Linked DNA regions of Astyanax mexicanus. The main gene of each other region encodes a partner of the protein of the gene in region 2 in a complex. Links are inferred from orthologs where the notes say so. Each region holds a gene or a part of one and is shown on either strand. Other genes may lie near its edges.

The links. Proteins that work in one complex are often made in the same cells at the same time.
Region 1: the proteins of oprm1 (region 2) and pomca are in contact, whole or in part, in a cryo-EM structure (PDB 8F7Q), measured with the Homo sapiens proteins. The link is inferred for Astyanax mexicanus from reciprocal best matches to the Homo sapiens genes OPRM1 and POMC. Residues at the interface, in NP_000905.3 of Homo sapiens: Ser66, Met67, Ala70, Ile71, Met74, Gln126, Asn129, Tyr130, Leu131, Met132, Gly133, Trp135, Val145, Ile146, Asp149, Tyr150, Met153, Arg213, Ile217, Asp218, Cys219, Thr220, Glu231, Lys235, Val238, Ile298, Val302, Lys305, Trp320, Ile324; in NP_000930.1 of Homo sapiens: Tyr237, Gly238, Gly239, Phe240, Met241, Thr242, Ser243, Glu244, Lys245, Thr248, Pro249, Leu250, Val251, Leu253.

What each region holds. Positions count from the first base shown.
Region 1 is NC_064421.1:29,040,660-29,048,276, forward strand, and holds pomca (proopiomelanocortin a), read left to right. Parts: upstream 1-4,533; 5' UTR 4,534-4,548; coding exon 4,549-4,681; intron 4,682-5,273; coding exon 5,274-5,416; intron 5,417-6,885; coding exon 6,886-7,416; 3' UTR 7,417-7,586; downstream 7,587-7,617. Other genes in the region: angiopoietin-related protein 7, read right to left, coding at 800-1,217, 2,588-2,628.
Region 2 is NC_064414.1:43,643,092-43,651,194, reverse strand, and holds the start of oprm1 (mu-type opioid receptor), read right to left. Parts: upstream 3,073-8,103; 5' UTR 2,737-3,072; coding exon 2,501-2,736; intron 1-2,500. UniProt on the Homo sapiens protein: Receptor for endogenous opioids such as beta-endorphin and endomorphin. Receptor for natural and synthetic opioids including morphine, heroin, DAMGO, fentanyl, etorphine, buprenorphin and methadone.

The sequences.
Region 1 (7,617 bases), on a different chromosome or scaffold from region 2:
ACACTTGCTGAATGTATATGCCTAATTTTAAGAATTTTATCAGATTTGTTAGCTGCTAGTATCAGATGTGTTTGAGCGTCTGATCTTTATGTTCTCCATAAAGTACAATATTTATATACATATATGAATAAAAAACTGTTTTAAGGCTCTGACAGCAGCAGTGTCTGCAGGCCATGTGTTTGTGGTGCTGCAGTGTAATCCAGTTATTGTACAGGGTTAAGGAGGTATTAGTGGGGGAACACTGGGAAAACACTCGCTATACTTTGTCTCAGCAAAAGCAGTATTAATAACATCCTGCAGCTCTGCTCTACACGTGCTCAAAACATTATTTAAAAGAAAATAATATAGTTGTGTGAGAGTGTAAAAAAAGGTTTACAGTTTACAGTATAGTTGTATGAAAAAATGAAGAGTAAAAAAGATCCACCATAACTTATCTTAAAAAAATATATATTTTTAAAATCTAAATAAAAAAAGGAGAATTTTTTTATTCAATTAGAACAGTAGGATCTATTGAGTACAACACTGCCCTCTAGTGGGCAAGGCTAAAACACAACACTAAATAAACCCCTTCTGACACCAATTTCTACAATTAAAGTAATATCATAATTAAAAATCAGTACTGTGTTTTTAAAAACGAAAAAAAAATATTGCCAAACAATACAATGTCAATATTTTTTACAGGCCTATTTGAAATTGTAATCATAAATGTGGGTGTATCCTAATATGTTTTCTGTCTTATGTCTTGTTAAAATATCAATTATATTTTATGAATCCTTTTTTCAGATTCTTTTTTTCTGACCTGTAACTCCAGAACTTTGATGCGATGTCTGTGGTTTCTCAGCTCCTCCTGAAGCTCTGAGATTGTCTCCTTCAGGTCTTGCATTTGCTGTTTGCGCTCTTCGTTCTCATGTAGCCAGTAGGAAACCTCGTCTGTGCAGCGGAACATGTCGGGACAGCGCTGTTCCTCCAGCTGGGGCAGCGTGGCCATCAGGCGGCACTGCCCGTTTGGCATCACCTCGTTACTGTACTCCCCGCACTGCATCAGGCCGCTGCTGATGAGATGCGTGTCTGTCTGAGAAGAGTCTGTTTGACTTGAATCCGATTCCTGATAGTCGGATTCCTGGGTGTCGGTGCTGCAGAGAAGCGTCTGGCAATACAGCAACCAGTACCAGTACCGGTACAGCAGAGTCCACTTCATCCTGCACTGGAGGAAAAGCCTTGATAAGGAACAATAATAACTTTAATTCTTTTTAATATACAGTTTTTACAGCATCTGTTACTGACTGATGTTCATTATAGGGAAATTTTAAGTCTATTCCAGTTATTCATTCATTTATTTTCCCTCAGATAAAATTCCACTGAATTCCACAGTAATTAAAATACTTGATGTGAATGCGATTAAATGTGATTTATTGAGATTAATTAGTCAGAGAATGTAATGAATTAGATACATTTTTAATTGTCTGAGAATAGTTTTTATGCGTTGTTCTCTGGTGCATTATATAATCATGGTTTATTAAGACATTAGCACCAATTACAACAGTACAAGTTACACAAAATACACAATGTACACAAGTTACAAAAATGATTTTACTTTTTATATGTAAATGTTTTAATTCCATAAACTACTTACAGCATTTCTTCCAAGTTCCAATTTCCAAATTCCATTTATTTACAGAAAAAGAGAAATGGTTAAAATAACAAAGGGATTAAGTGCTTTCAGACCTTAAATAATGCACAGAAGAAAAAGTTCATATTCAATTAGAAACAACAATAATAATGTTTTAGGAGTTCAGAAATCAATATTTGGTTGAATAATCCAAATATTTAACTTAATTAAATTTACATGCATCTTGGCATGTTTTCCTCCAGTCTTACATGCTGCTTTTGGATTATTTTATACCACTCCTGGTGCAAAAAATCAAGCAGTTTACCTTCCTCTTAATTACATTCCAGAGGTTTTGAAGACAAACTGCTTTATTATTTCAATATTTCTCATTAATGCTGAATTCTATACTTGAGGAACCGGCTGTTAACCAGCGTTTTTAAGATGTTGTACATTTTTATCTTTTCAGGATTCTCAGAAAACTGGCAATTATCATGAATAAAACATAGTGCTGTCAACATTAAAAATAATTTTGAAACTTTTTTATGCAAATTAATCACAAGTTTTACAGAGCCAGGTGACATATAAATAATAAAATCTCTTTCTCCCTCTCTTTTTCTCTCCATCTTTCCCCCTCTCCCTCTATCTCTCCATCTCTCTTTTTGTTTGATATTTTAGTTTTAACTTTTATTTTACATTCTACCTAAATGTTATACATTCATTTGTTGTTTGTGTTTTATATATTCTACCGGTATTTGTTTTTTTATTTTATTATTCATTTTATTATTTATACCCTGTAGTTTGATGTGATTGCATTTCTCTGCTAGTTGTTCTGAGTGTGATTTTATATGTGACAAATAAAGTTTTAACTTGTATTAAAATCTATTGGGAGACATTTCTACCACTAAGTTTCCATATTAAAATAGACCGTAGTGTTTACAGAAGTTACAGGAACATATAAGTGTAGAAAAGCAACGTTACCTGATTTCAGCAGAGCAGCTGGCGGCGAGGAGAGACGGCATGACCCGTCTGTTTCCCCGAGAGAGAGAGAGACTCTCGGCCGGGCCGAACGTCGTTCCTCACAGACATCTTATCCCATAATCCTCTTTAATAGGATTCCTACAGCAGAGCTTCTGCAGTAGGAACAAAAAGTGGGGGGCAAATATGGTAATATGGGTTTAATATAGTGCTGGATGATATGGCCAAATTTATATTACAATATATTTCTTAATTTCAGTGATATATTTGTAATGTGGATAGGAACATTGTAAAATCTGTGCTGTACATCACACACTGGCACTGCCAGCCTACAGTATCTATAGCATATACAACACTATATACAATCTATAGCATATACAATCTATAGCTCTTACAACACTAGACCAGTTTAATACAGCGGCTCCCTTATTTACTCTAAACATTTTAAACTATTACAATAATGTATATTACAAGTGGTAACAGTTAAGCTGGAGATGGTTAGAGATAAACAGAAAACGTTAAGCAGTTAACAATAAGTGTTAGGTGACAAGTGGTAAATATTGAGGCGGTAGATATTAAGCAAGACAGTAAACATTAAGCGGTAGGAGTTAAACATTAAGCGCTAGGCGGAAGATATTAAGAATTTTTTTCCCTAAAAAATCTTTTTTTATTTGTGTTTTATTTTTAGTAAGTTGTAAATGGGACAGACGTTCAGCATCTGTGTGTAAATATTGATGGTCAGTGGTAATCGTTAAGGGGTAGACAGTTAACGCTTAGTGGTATGTGTTAAGTAGGGGTGGGCGATATGGCCCTAGAATAATATCACGATATTTCATGGTATTATCGCGATAACGATACTCTTGGTGATGTGACAAAAAAATTAAAAATACACTACTGCAACAAAACGAAACTTACATTTTATTATTGAATACGGTATGATTTTGCACACCTCTAACTAAGATATTTTAAAAAACAAGCAGATTTTAGCAGATTTGTAACAGAAGTCAATGATTCAGAATGTGATGATACTACCAATAATAATGCACTCCATATATCTCCATATATCCAGGATTAAAGTAAAATAAATTATACTGAACAGATATAATATGTCTCTAGTATATATTTAATAGGAAATGGGAATAGTGTTAATTTTTCTTTTGCTTAAAACAGCCAAAAAAGTAGTACCCTGATGTGATAATTAGAGGTGGGTGATATGGCACGATATTTCAGGGTATAATATCGTTCACGATATTCAAAAATGTTGGCGATATTATCGCGTACGATACGATATGGTACACCTCTAGTGTTAAGTAGTAAATGTTTAGCGATTGGCAGTAAGTAGTAAATGTCAATCGGTAGGTGGTAGGCCTTAAACTTTAAGTGGAAGACAGTAAATGTTCAGTGGTAGGTGGTAAACATTAAGCAGTAGGTGGTGAGCGATAGGTAGTTAGCAGTAAACGTTAAGTGGTAGGCAGTAAATGTTAAGCGGTATGTGGTAAACGTTAAGCAGTAGGCGATAAACATTAAGCGGAAAACATTAAGCGGTAGGCAGTAAATGTTAAGCGGTATGTGGTAAATGTAAAGCTGTAGGGGATAAACATTAAGTGGTAGATATTTATCTTTTTTTTTCTTGAAAATGACTCAATATCTTTTTTAATTTGTGTTTTAATTTACAGTAAGTTGTAAATGGGACAGAGGTTTATCACCTGCGTGTCGGTGACCGGACAGACTGACGTATGGAAAATCAGTTGGAGTTAAAATTTCAGCTTTTATTATTAAAGTCAGGTAAACTGATCCTGCTGCCCTTCAGATTTTCTCTTTAACAGAGAACTGATAATCCCGACCGACCAGTCGCTGTGTGTGCGTCAATTTGTCGTGGCTGGATGGTCTGAATAGGTTGGGATTGGTCTGTGTGCGGTAATTAGTCGTGGCTGTAATGGTTGGGATTGGTCATGTTCTGATCTATGAGCGTGTCCTTGAGCACAGTGCGAGTCAAGGCTTATAAAAAGGAGCAGCCGGAGGATTCGGACCTCAGAACCAAGTTACAGAACGGCAGAATCTTCTCATCACTTCAATCCTCATTTATCATCAAAACAGGTGAGTCTCTGACTGCATCCATTTACATTAAAATCCTTCAATCAGTATTCAGTTCAATAGTTGCTTTTGTACAACTAAACTATTTTAGTAATGTTCTGTTTATAGGTACTTTATCTTTAGTTTGTTTTAGATCTTTAAATGACATCTATATTGATAAAAAGTTACAGTGGTATATTACAGCTGTGTATTAGCAACTTGGCGTTACGATGACGATACATCAATATATATTGCAATACATTGTTTACGATTTAAAGCAAGACCATATATTACAATTGTTTAAAAACGTTTTTTATATTTATATATTAAATTATATTTGTAAAATCTATATAAAAGTAAAGTTATTTTTTATCAAATCAGAACAGTGGGATCTAACAACAAAGTACAACACTGCTATCTAGGGAGCAGAGTTTAAACACTAAATTAACCACTTCTGATATTAATCTTTACACCTAAACTAACCATTAATAATTAACCAGTTTTAAAAAATGATACGTAATGAAATGAAATATCATGACACAGATATATGCTCATTTATGATGAATTAGTGCTGGTGCTGCTGTGGCTGAGGTTCTGAGGTGGTTTGGTTCTGCAGGTCCGGTGATGGGGTTGAGGATGGAGGCGTGTCCGGCATGGCTGCTGGCTCTGGCGATACTGTGTGCGATCGGCAGCGAGGTGAACGCCCAGTGCTGGGAGAACGGACCCTGCAGAGACCTCAGTTCTGAGGAACAGATTCTGGTGAGGCACTGAACTTAAGCTGACCAATTCTATTCAGTTTACCTAATCTTACTAATTTAATTCAATAACAAATTAGTTTATTAACGTTTTTTATTTTGGCCAAAATTATTTAATTTTTAAGTTTGCAGTGCTAGTATTCACCCTCCGGGCTTGGGGCATTACTAGTGACGGGGGAGTCCTAATATATGTAATAACATATTAACATATTAATAATGAAACACAAAAGATCAACAGATTATCAATCTAACTTTTACAGATAAAAGAAAGTATACTAATTATAATTTCCGGATGTTACTAGGGCTGGAACGATTATTTTAATAGTCGACTAATCTGTCAATTATTTTTTTCAAATTATAATCAGATAAAAACGCGGGAAGCAAAATTAGATTTTTATCTGATATACAGCCAAGGCGCTTTGCTTCCACGGTTTTCATTGGGGGTACCAACTGTACTTATAATATATCTACGTATAATTACGTAAACCCAACTAATCAGTTATTAAATTAGTTGCCAATTATTTTACTAATCAATTTTAATTGATTAGGTCAATTTTTTGTGGCAGCTCTAGATGTCACATGCTTAACAATATAGGTTATGCTTATTGGTTCAGATTTTGAGGATGCTTTCACCCTGCCTTGTCCAATTTGGAATTTTAGACTTTTCAGTTTGATCCAAACCAGAATAGCGTGTGTGTGAAATATACCGCCAACTATAGTCAAGTTTAGTGGATGATGATCCGGTCGGTTTACAGTGTGAATCCCCTTTATTTAATCAGACCAATTACAGGAAGTTGAGTCAGGCTATGGTCACCTATTAAACAAAAAAGAAGAAAAAGGAGAATCTAACACTGATTATTGTATTTACATTTAAATAACCAGTATTATAATCTAACCCTTAGCCTAGTCTCAAGAAGAAAAGGCGTAATTTATTTTTTTAAAATAATGACATGACATTGTTAATTTGCATTAATTCTTTCTGACTGATGTAGATGTCATTGAAAAAGTAATGATTGTTGATTTTTAAAATATTATTAAAATATTTTTTAATGCAAAGACACTTTGCTTTACACTAACTAAAGTTAGGGGACTGATTCAGAAATTCACTTAAAAATGTGTTTTTTTTAGCTGTACCAATCCATCAAAAATCAAATCAAAATAATCACTTTTTAATGACATTTCTTTATGTGGTGTTCATTACTTTTTGTCGTATTTCTCTGTATTTTGGTAGGGAGACAGTAATAGCTGTGATATAGCCTTTATTCTCTTCATTATAACAGTTAACCCCCTTTACGGGTTTCTAATGTGATGGGCGTTTCCAACGACACCACCAATTAGAGGCAGCAAAAGGTGGAGCTAGTGTCTCAGCCCTAAGTAGGCAGAGACTAGAGGCTTTTAGATTCTTTAACATAAGCAGCAGGAGTTTATTTTATTAACAATGGGGATTCTATACTTCTTTCTGTTTTCTCTCAGGACTGTATGAAGTTGTGTAAGTCTAATCTAAAGATGGAGTCTCCTCTGTTTCCGGGAGAGGGTCATCTCCAACCTCTGCTGGAATCGCTGACGGGTGAGAACCCTGCCGCTCTGCCCGACGAGGACGCTCCAGAGCCAGCAACACTGCGCGAGGACAAGCGCTCGTACTCCATGGAGCATTTCCGCTGGGGGAAACCCGTCGGCCGCAAACGTCGCCCCATCAAGGTATACACAAACGGGGCAGAGGACGAGTCGGCCGAGGCCCTGCCCGCTGAGATGAGGCGCGAGGTGTTTGGCGGGGAGAATGACTACCCCCTGGAGGACAGTCTGTTCAGCCCTTTTGACACCTTTGGCCCACAAGACAAGAAGGACGGTTCCTACAAGATGAACCACTTCCGCTGGAGCGAGCCGCCCGCAAGCAAGCGCTACGGAGGCTTCATGAAGTCCTGGGATGAACGGAGCCAGAAACCTCTGCTCACGCTCTTCAAAAACGTCATCAACAAAGACGGACACCAGAAGAAGGACCACTGAGGAACATTAGAGCAACATAAAATACAGTGTAGATAGTGAGAGAAAGAGAGAGAGAAAGAAAGAGAGGATGGGTTTTTATAATTCTCACTTTATAATACATTGATATTGATTGATATTGATATAGCAGCACTATTACACTGTACTACACAATAAACATCATTGTACATAGACTACTGTACAAGCTGTGGTGATTAAATGTTG
Region 2 (8,103 bases):
AAACGTTCAGAAGGAATCAGTAAACAATGAATCACTCAGACAACTGACTCAGCACACAAACACTGCTCTGGGTCTGGTGGTATGTGCTAGATGGTGGATCCTATTAAATCTCCACATTTGATTAAAAGCCTGCCTTTTACTAACTGCCATGACTTAAGCTCTCTCTGTTTATTCATGTTTATGCAGGACACCACGCCTGGGTTTAGTGGTGAACTAGGAACTGTGTTTCAAAGCTCAAAAAACAATAGACTCGTACTAGAGCGGTGAACCGGCAAGAGCCTGACGATACTATACATATCATGATAAAGGGGATACAATTTAATATATTGTGATATATTGCAATACTGTAAGCATGACAACATACTGCATTTTCTTTTTATTAAACTGTAGGAAAAATATAATGGTGTGAAAAACACACTACTATATGATTATATGATATATGACATCTCGGTAGAAGTAGAGTTCACCTTTTATCCAATCAGAACAGTAAGATCTGCACAACACGGTGGTCTAGTTGGAGGGATTTTAACTTAAAGTGAAATGAACCACTGTCTGCTATCAATTTTTACATGTTAATAAATAATCTATGAATTAAAATTCTATACTTTTTTTGAGAGAATCAAAAATGTATTACAAAAAATAATATATATAATATAAAAATACTATTATTTATTAATTGTTGTATCCCTACAGCAGATCTGATTTTACTACAGCAACATAAGAGATAGGAAAAGAGCAAACATAACATCTGTAACTGACCCTTTAAAATATTAACTACATTTAATAATGTTGTATTAAATTGAATGCTGCAATCATATAAACATATCTATATAATGAAGTACAATGCAAATGACTTTGCCTGTTTTAACATGTCATGAGATTTCTGTTTAAGGCATAAATTATGTATTACTGTCAGCGATAACAGAATTACTGATGAGTCAAATCTTTCCATCCCTGAAATGTCCCTGCAATTCTAGAATAGGCCAAACACACAATGAACAATAGAGAATGTGTTTATAATTCAATTTAACTGCCATTTTCATTTCTTCAATTCTACAGGTGCACAGAAATGAATAATGTTTGACCAAAACTTGAAACTGAGCAAAACTGGTTGAAGTCAGAATACCAAAACATGAATACCAAACATGTTTCTTTTTACAGGTTTGCATTATTACTAAACATTTTAACATCCCACAACATAAATAAGCCATTATTCTGGATAAATTACATTTTTTTTTTACATTTATGGCTGAATAATTCCGTTTGCCAAATATTCTATGCAACTCTAGTCAAGGAATCAGTCCCCTCCGGTACTGTCTGTCTCACAGTACAGAACTTAATAGGTGTTTACAACATGCACATCACACCAGACATCTCCACATCAGAGTAATATTACAGATGCTAATGTCACTGTAATACTGTTTTGTTTATATTTCCCTTGTGATTGTGATCTGTACTAATGTGACATTAAGTTCATGAGGCACTGACTCTTATAGAGTCTCTCTCCTTCTCTCTCTTTCTCTCACACACACAGCCATATCTGGCATGTGGCATAGCATGATACAGAAAAGCTTCAGGGAAGAACAGATTCTTCTCTACAGCTGGGCACTTGCAGAACAACACTGAAATGTAAGAATACCCTGCTAAACACAGCAGCATGGCCAGCTCAAAGCTGGTTAACCAGTCTACATTTTGACCGGAACAGAGTATGTTTTCATTTCAGTTTGAGGTTTTAACTGGTCTACAAGCATGATGAACCTCACCAAGCAAAACAACTTCAAGCTGGTAAACCAGCAAGGCCATCAAGACAAGCAAGACCAAGCTTGACCAAGCTGGACAAAGCTAGACCAGCAAGACCAAGCTGGTTGACCAGCAAGACCAACAAGACCTAGCTAGACCAAACTGGTTGACCAGCAAGACCAGGCTAGACAAAGCTAGACCAACTGGTTGACTAGTAAGACCTGCAAGAGCAAGCTTGACCAAGCTGGTCACCCAGCAAGACCCGCAAAAGCAAGCTAGATCAAGCTGGTCAACCAGCAAGACCACAAAGACCATCAATACCAAGTTGGTTGACTAGCAAGACCTAGCTAGACCAAGCTGGTCAACCAACAAGACCACAAAGACAAAGCAAGTAAAAACAGCAAGGCCAAGCGTGGCCACCAGTCTGACCACAAACAAATGCAACAAACTCTATGCTGGACATAAGTTGGTTGAGCAGCTAGCTCACCAGTAAAGAGCTTGTTTCTGCATGAAACTACCAAATACCAGATTAGACCACTAAAACTGTATCAAAAACAGAGTTCGTCAGCAGGGACTGACTCCCAATCCAGACCTTTACAGTGGTTCAACAGGTAGCCCACTCTCCCCATGTGTCCATAAGCAGCAGAGCAGAACAGAGCACCTGGACACCTGTGAGAGTTATTGTGTTTTTTTTTTTTTCATTCTTTTTTTTTGGAGGAGAGAAATAAAGAACCACAGTGAGTGACTCCACGCGTCTTACCTGATGATGACATACATGACCAGGACGTTGCCCACCAGTCCCAGCGCGCACACGATGGAGTAGACGGCGGTGATGATGATGGCGATGATCACGGGAGTGGAGCTTTCGCTTATCTCGCCCGCCCGGTTGCATCTGCTGTCCGGGTCTGAGAGGTTCGCGTTGCCGCTGAAGTTTCGGCAGAACGCGGCGCTGCTGCTGAACTGGGGGGCGTCCGACGCGTTCACGCCGCTCTCCATAACGACTAGCTACCGGAGTGAGGAACGGAGAGATCCGCGCAGTTTATCACTCACTACACTTCTACAGCCTCTCTCTCTGTTTCTTTCTCTGTTTCTCTCTCTGTTTCTCTCTCTCGCTTTCTCTCTGTCTCTCTCTCTCTCTCTCTCTCTCTCTCTCTCTCTCTCTCTCTCTCTCTCTCTCTCTCTTTCTCTCTAACCTCTCAGCACACCTGTGTATCTGCCCGCGCGCTCCTGACTCCCCACCGCAGTGTCCGCCGGCGCTCCTCACGCGGCCAGTCCTGTCATCAGCGCCCCGCGCGTACACGTACGCACACACACGCACACGCGCGCGCCCAGGGTTTCTCTCGTTTTATGCTGCGAAATGACGTCACGCACCAAAGGCACGTGACCCCAGGCTCGGGCGCTTTTCGAAAAGAGACTCTGAGGTTGCGCTTAATGACTGAGTGAAGAAGAGCAGGGAGTTATCTCTCTCATCAAAATCTCTGATTTTAAAGTCCTTTAAAGCCATTATTTAATTTATTCATTCTTTCACTCAGTCACCAATTAAATTTATCCTTAACGCACTGATTCAGGCGATGAACTGCATCACTCACTCATCATATACACCATACATTCACTTATTAACTGATTAATTCACTCACTCATTCAGGCGATGAACTGAATCATTCACTCATTATATGAATAATTCACTCACTTATTAACTTAATAATTTACTGAATCATTTATACATTATTCTCTCACTCATTCAGGTGATGAACTAAAGCATTCACTCACTCATTCACTGAATCATTCACTCACTTATTCACGCACTCATTTACTGAATCATTTATTCACTCATTTAGGTAATGAACTGAATCATTCACTCACTCATTAAATGAATCATTCACTTACTCGTTTACCAAATTATTTACCTATTACTGAATCATTTACTTACTTATTTACATAATATTTATGTACACTTTCACTGAGTCGATTTTTTTGTAATTTACTCCCTCTTTAACTAAATTATTACTCACTAATTTACTAAATGAATTACGTATTAATTTGCCGAATCAGTCACTTACTCTTTCACTAAATCATTCACTCACATATTTATAACATGTGACTGAAGCCTTCACTGAACCAATTACTCACTGTTTCATTAAATCAGTCATTTACATTTTTACTGACCCATTCACTCACTCATTTACTAAATTGTTCACTGAACAATTATCTGAATTATTCACTTTTTTATTTACTTAATCAGACACTGGATTATTCAATTACTCATTTATCACATCTGTCATTTACCCACTCATTTACTGAATCAGTCATTTACTAATTTATTGAATTATTCACTCACTCAATCACTAAACATATTTACTGGATACTAATTCACTCACACATTTATGTATTTTTTAATTAATCATTCAGTTAACTTATTTACTGGATTAGTTATTTACTAATTCACTCACACATTTACTGAATTCTTTACCTACTCGGTCTGATTCAATAGAACATTCACCCATTTACAGTGAATTGATAATTTATTCATTCAATCTATTCATTTACTCATCACAACATAAATTTACTGAATCAGTCACTCATTCACTGAATCATTCTCTCATTCACTGAATTAGTCACTCATTAACTGAATCAGTCACTCATTAACTAAATGACTCACTTATCAACTGAACCATTCACTCACTTAATAAATAAATCCTTAATTTGCTCACTGAATCACTCACTGAATCATTTACTCATTCATTGAATCATTTTATAATTTGTTGATCCATTCATTCACTGAATCATTCACTCAGTCACATGTTTATAACATGACATCACTCACAAAATTTTTATTCCATCTCACTTTGGAATTGGTATTTTTTTAGTTGGTGAATCACTTTAAACCCCTGACTGAATCAATTACTTCAAAAACCCTTCAGTCACTTGTTCATGGAATAGAAAACTCACACAATGAATCAGTTAATGTCCCCAGATGGAGAACAGGCCTGGTCATTGTATCTTCTCTTCATGTGTCTGTTTCACAAGCATCGCACCTGATGTCCTTCCATACAAAACACAGATCTGAAGACCTTCTTACATGTCAGAGCCACACTCTGTCATCCTCAACTCTACTGACCTCATGCCTTGCCTGGGGGGGAGGGGGGTCATACATGGGTTCTAGAAGGATGAATAAGGTGGTAAGATCTTTATTTATATTCCATTAGCTTGTTTTCTTGAACAGAGGATGGTTTTAAAGTCTTCATTATCAACATGTTATGAAAGTACGAGTAAAATGATTGAAATTCATTGATCACATGCTGATTCATGTACTTCGATTCATGTTTTCCATGAAAAACTCAAATGATAAACACTCCCTAACAGACACCAGATGACAATCAAATGCCTCAGAAAGACATCACAAATTGCTGGATCCTTATGCCATTGGTTGAAAATGAAAATTTACAATAAAACCCAATATTGTATAGATGCTGAATTTAGTTACTAATCAAAAGCAACAGTAAAATGGGGGTGGGGTGCCTTGGGGAGGGGGGAGGGAGTTCGAGGGTGGCATACACAATCACCCTCATTTTTTTTTTTGTTTTGTTCTTCAATATTGTAATGTACATTGTTGCTGGTAATGTGTATAAAAATGAAAATAAATAATAATAAATAAATAAATAAATAATAAATAATTGATCGCAAAAAAAAGCAACAATAAAATGGAAATCTAATTGATGTCAAACTTAACATTGTATAAATGTTGAAATTCCATTGGATATCAAACTCACACATTTAGCAATAATGAACGTTAGACTCTGATAACACTATACTGATAACTATACATAAACAACATTTTATCTTAAAACGAGTTGTTCATGTTTATGTGGGTCAGCCTATAATGTGGGGGTGGGGTTAAGCTAATTAAGAGCATTATGGGGGTGTGTTTGGGTTGGGAGTTTTACTCTCCAGGCTAAGAGCTGTGAGGGAGCGGTACCCTGTTCAATAAAAGAGCTTTTGCTGAGATCATGCTGCCTGTTGCTTCATCCCCCTGCCGGTCATTACAGTATTATATATCAGTGTAATGTTGGCATTTGACATTTGGAAGATAATTAGCCATGGGCTAATAAACATTGCTTCATTTGTAAATTTGAAACTAAAGAAATTTTCTACTCATATCTTGAGTTAAATTAATTTTCTTTTACATTTTATTAAAAAACTAATAAAAAAAAGAGTAGCACTTTTTGAAAGAAATGTAACATAAGAAAGGTAAAGGGCAAATATTAACCATGTAAGCTGTTTATATTGCTTGCAATTTAGGTGAAGCAAGCATGTGTAAAGCATTTTAATGTAAAAATGCTTGATTTTGCTGAATTAAATTCAAGTAACAAAGTAAACGAGTAACAAAAATATGAACACCACACAAGGGTTAACATCACAACTTAAAATCAACAAAATATTAGCTTTAGCCATTGACATTCATCTGCACCAAAGAGACGTTGGCATTTGACATGGTCCTGACATTCACTTGATCACTTGATAACAACCTACCTCTAATCAGATAACATTGTCTATCGCTGTTGGTGGCCAGGTGCATTTTTTTTTTTTTAGCTTTTTTTTAGTTTAGTTTATGAAGTTCTGCCAACAGAAACACAATACAGACACTCTGCACTAAAGAGTCAGGAGGCAGGATCTGCAGATGGCGCCTTTATTCACGTGCAGACAGATAATAATGCACGGGCAGAGCTGAGTCGATCAGCAGTCTGTCAGCAGCCTGGTCCAGTCTAAAGAATGCATATTTTCAGTGGGTTTAATATGCACTCTAATAGAGAGAGAGAAGAAGAGGCGGATGAAGAGGAGTTTGAGGAGCGGGTGAGGGGAAGAAGAAAAAGGTGCAAGAAGATGAAGATGAAAGGAAAAAATGCATGAAGAAGCCAAGGAGCGAGAAAAAAGGGAATATGGTGCTGAACAAAGATGAATAGGAAGGCAGTTATCACCTCAAAGACAGGAGGAAGAGGGTCATTTTAATGCTAATGCAGAAAGGAATGAGTGGACAGGAATCATGAGCAAGGTGATGATAATCATTTGGCCACAAAGACAGGGTTATGAACCATCAGAAAACAACACATTTTATAAATATTTTCTCTCTCAAGCACCATCTTCCCATCTTCTCATTCAGCTGAGCTCCGCTTTCTTTTACAGGCCCCTAACAGCTTTTACAACAGACAATAGAGGGTGTTTGCAGCAGGAAAATGAAGAAGGCACCAAGACTTCAAGTCATGAATCATTGCTGGGGTGCACAGATAGTTATAGTACAAGTTATGATCCAAGTAATACAGCTTTAGAAGAATTATATATTATATAGTATATGTATTATATTAGTAATATGAAAAAAAGCCATTGCAGAAGACCTTGACAAGTGGGTTATTATCAGAATACTGTGCACTTTGTTCCTTTAAAACTTTCTTTTCTTTTATTTATAATATTTATAAGACTTCAGACTACACATTTTTTCAGCTTAGTCACTTTTTATTTGTACTTTTTACTTCTTGTCATGCATGCCTGCACCCTATTACAGCTTTTCAAGTTCCTTACCTAGAGTGACCTAGAGTTGTGGATATTTTGAATTGTTTGTCATGTACACTGTCTGACCAAAAAAAGTCTCCACCTGGATTTAAGTAAGTAAATGATGTGGGGGTTCATGCTGCAGTTGGTCTGCAGGTTTAGGTTCAGCAACAGTATGTGCTGAAAGAATGAGGTCAGCTGACTACCTGAATATACTGAATATAGACCAGGTTATTCCATCAATGGATTTCTTCTTGATGATGCTCCCTGATGATACGGGTATATTCAAAGATGACAATGTCAGGATTCATGGGGCTGGAATTGTGAAAGAGTGATTTAGGGAGCATGAGATCATCATTTTCACACATGGATTGAGAGAGTTCACCACAGAGTCCAGACCTTAACCTCATTGAGAATTTTTGAGATGTGCTGGAGAAGGCTTTGTGCAGTGGTCAGACTCTACCATCATCAATGCTGCTGCAAGATCTTGGTGAAAAATTAATGCAACACTGGATTGAAGTAAATCTTGAGGCGTTGCAGAAGCTTATTGAAACAATGCTACAGTGAATCAAAGCTAAAGGCGGTCCAACACATTTTTGGTGCCGACTTTTTTTTGGCCAGTCAGTATACGCGAAACTCAATTTTTCTGTTTCCGCCTGGATCTCGGCTGCCTGGAAAAAAAGTCCATCCACTAATTTTTTGTGAATCAGTTAACAGAGTTGAGTTTCAGGAATCATATGCTTCTCTGAACTATTTGGATCACTCTCTTATTGTGACATCAACAGCAAAAGCTTATTTGCATAAAAGTGACAGAGCCCT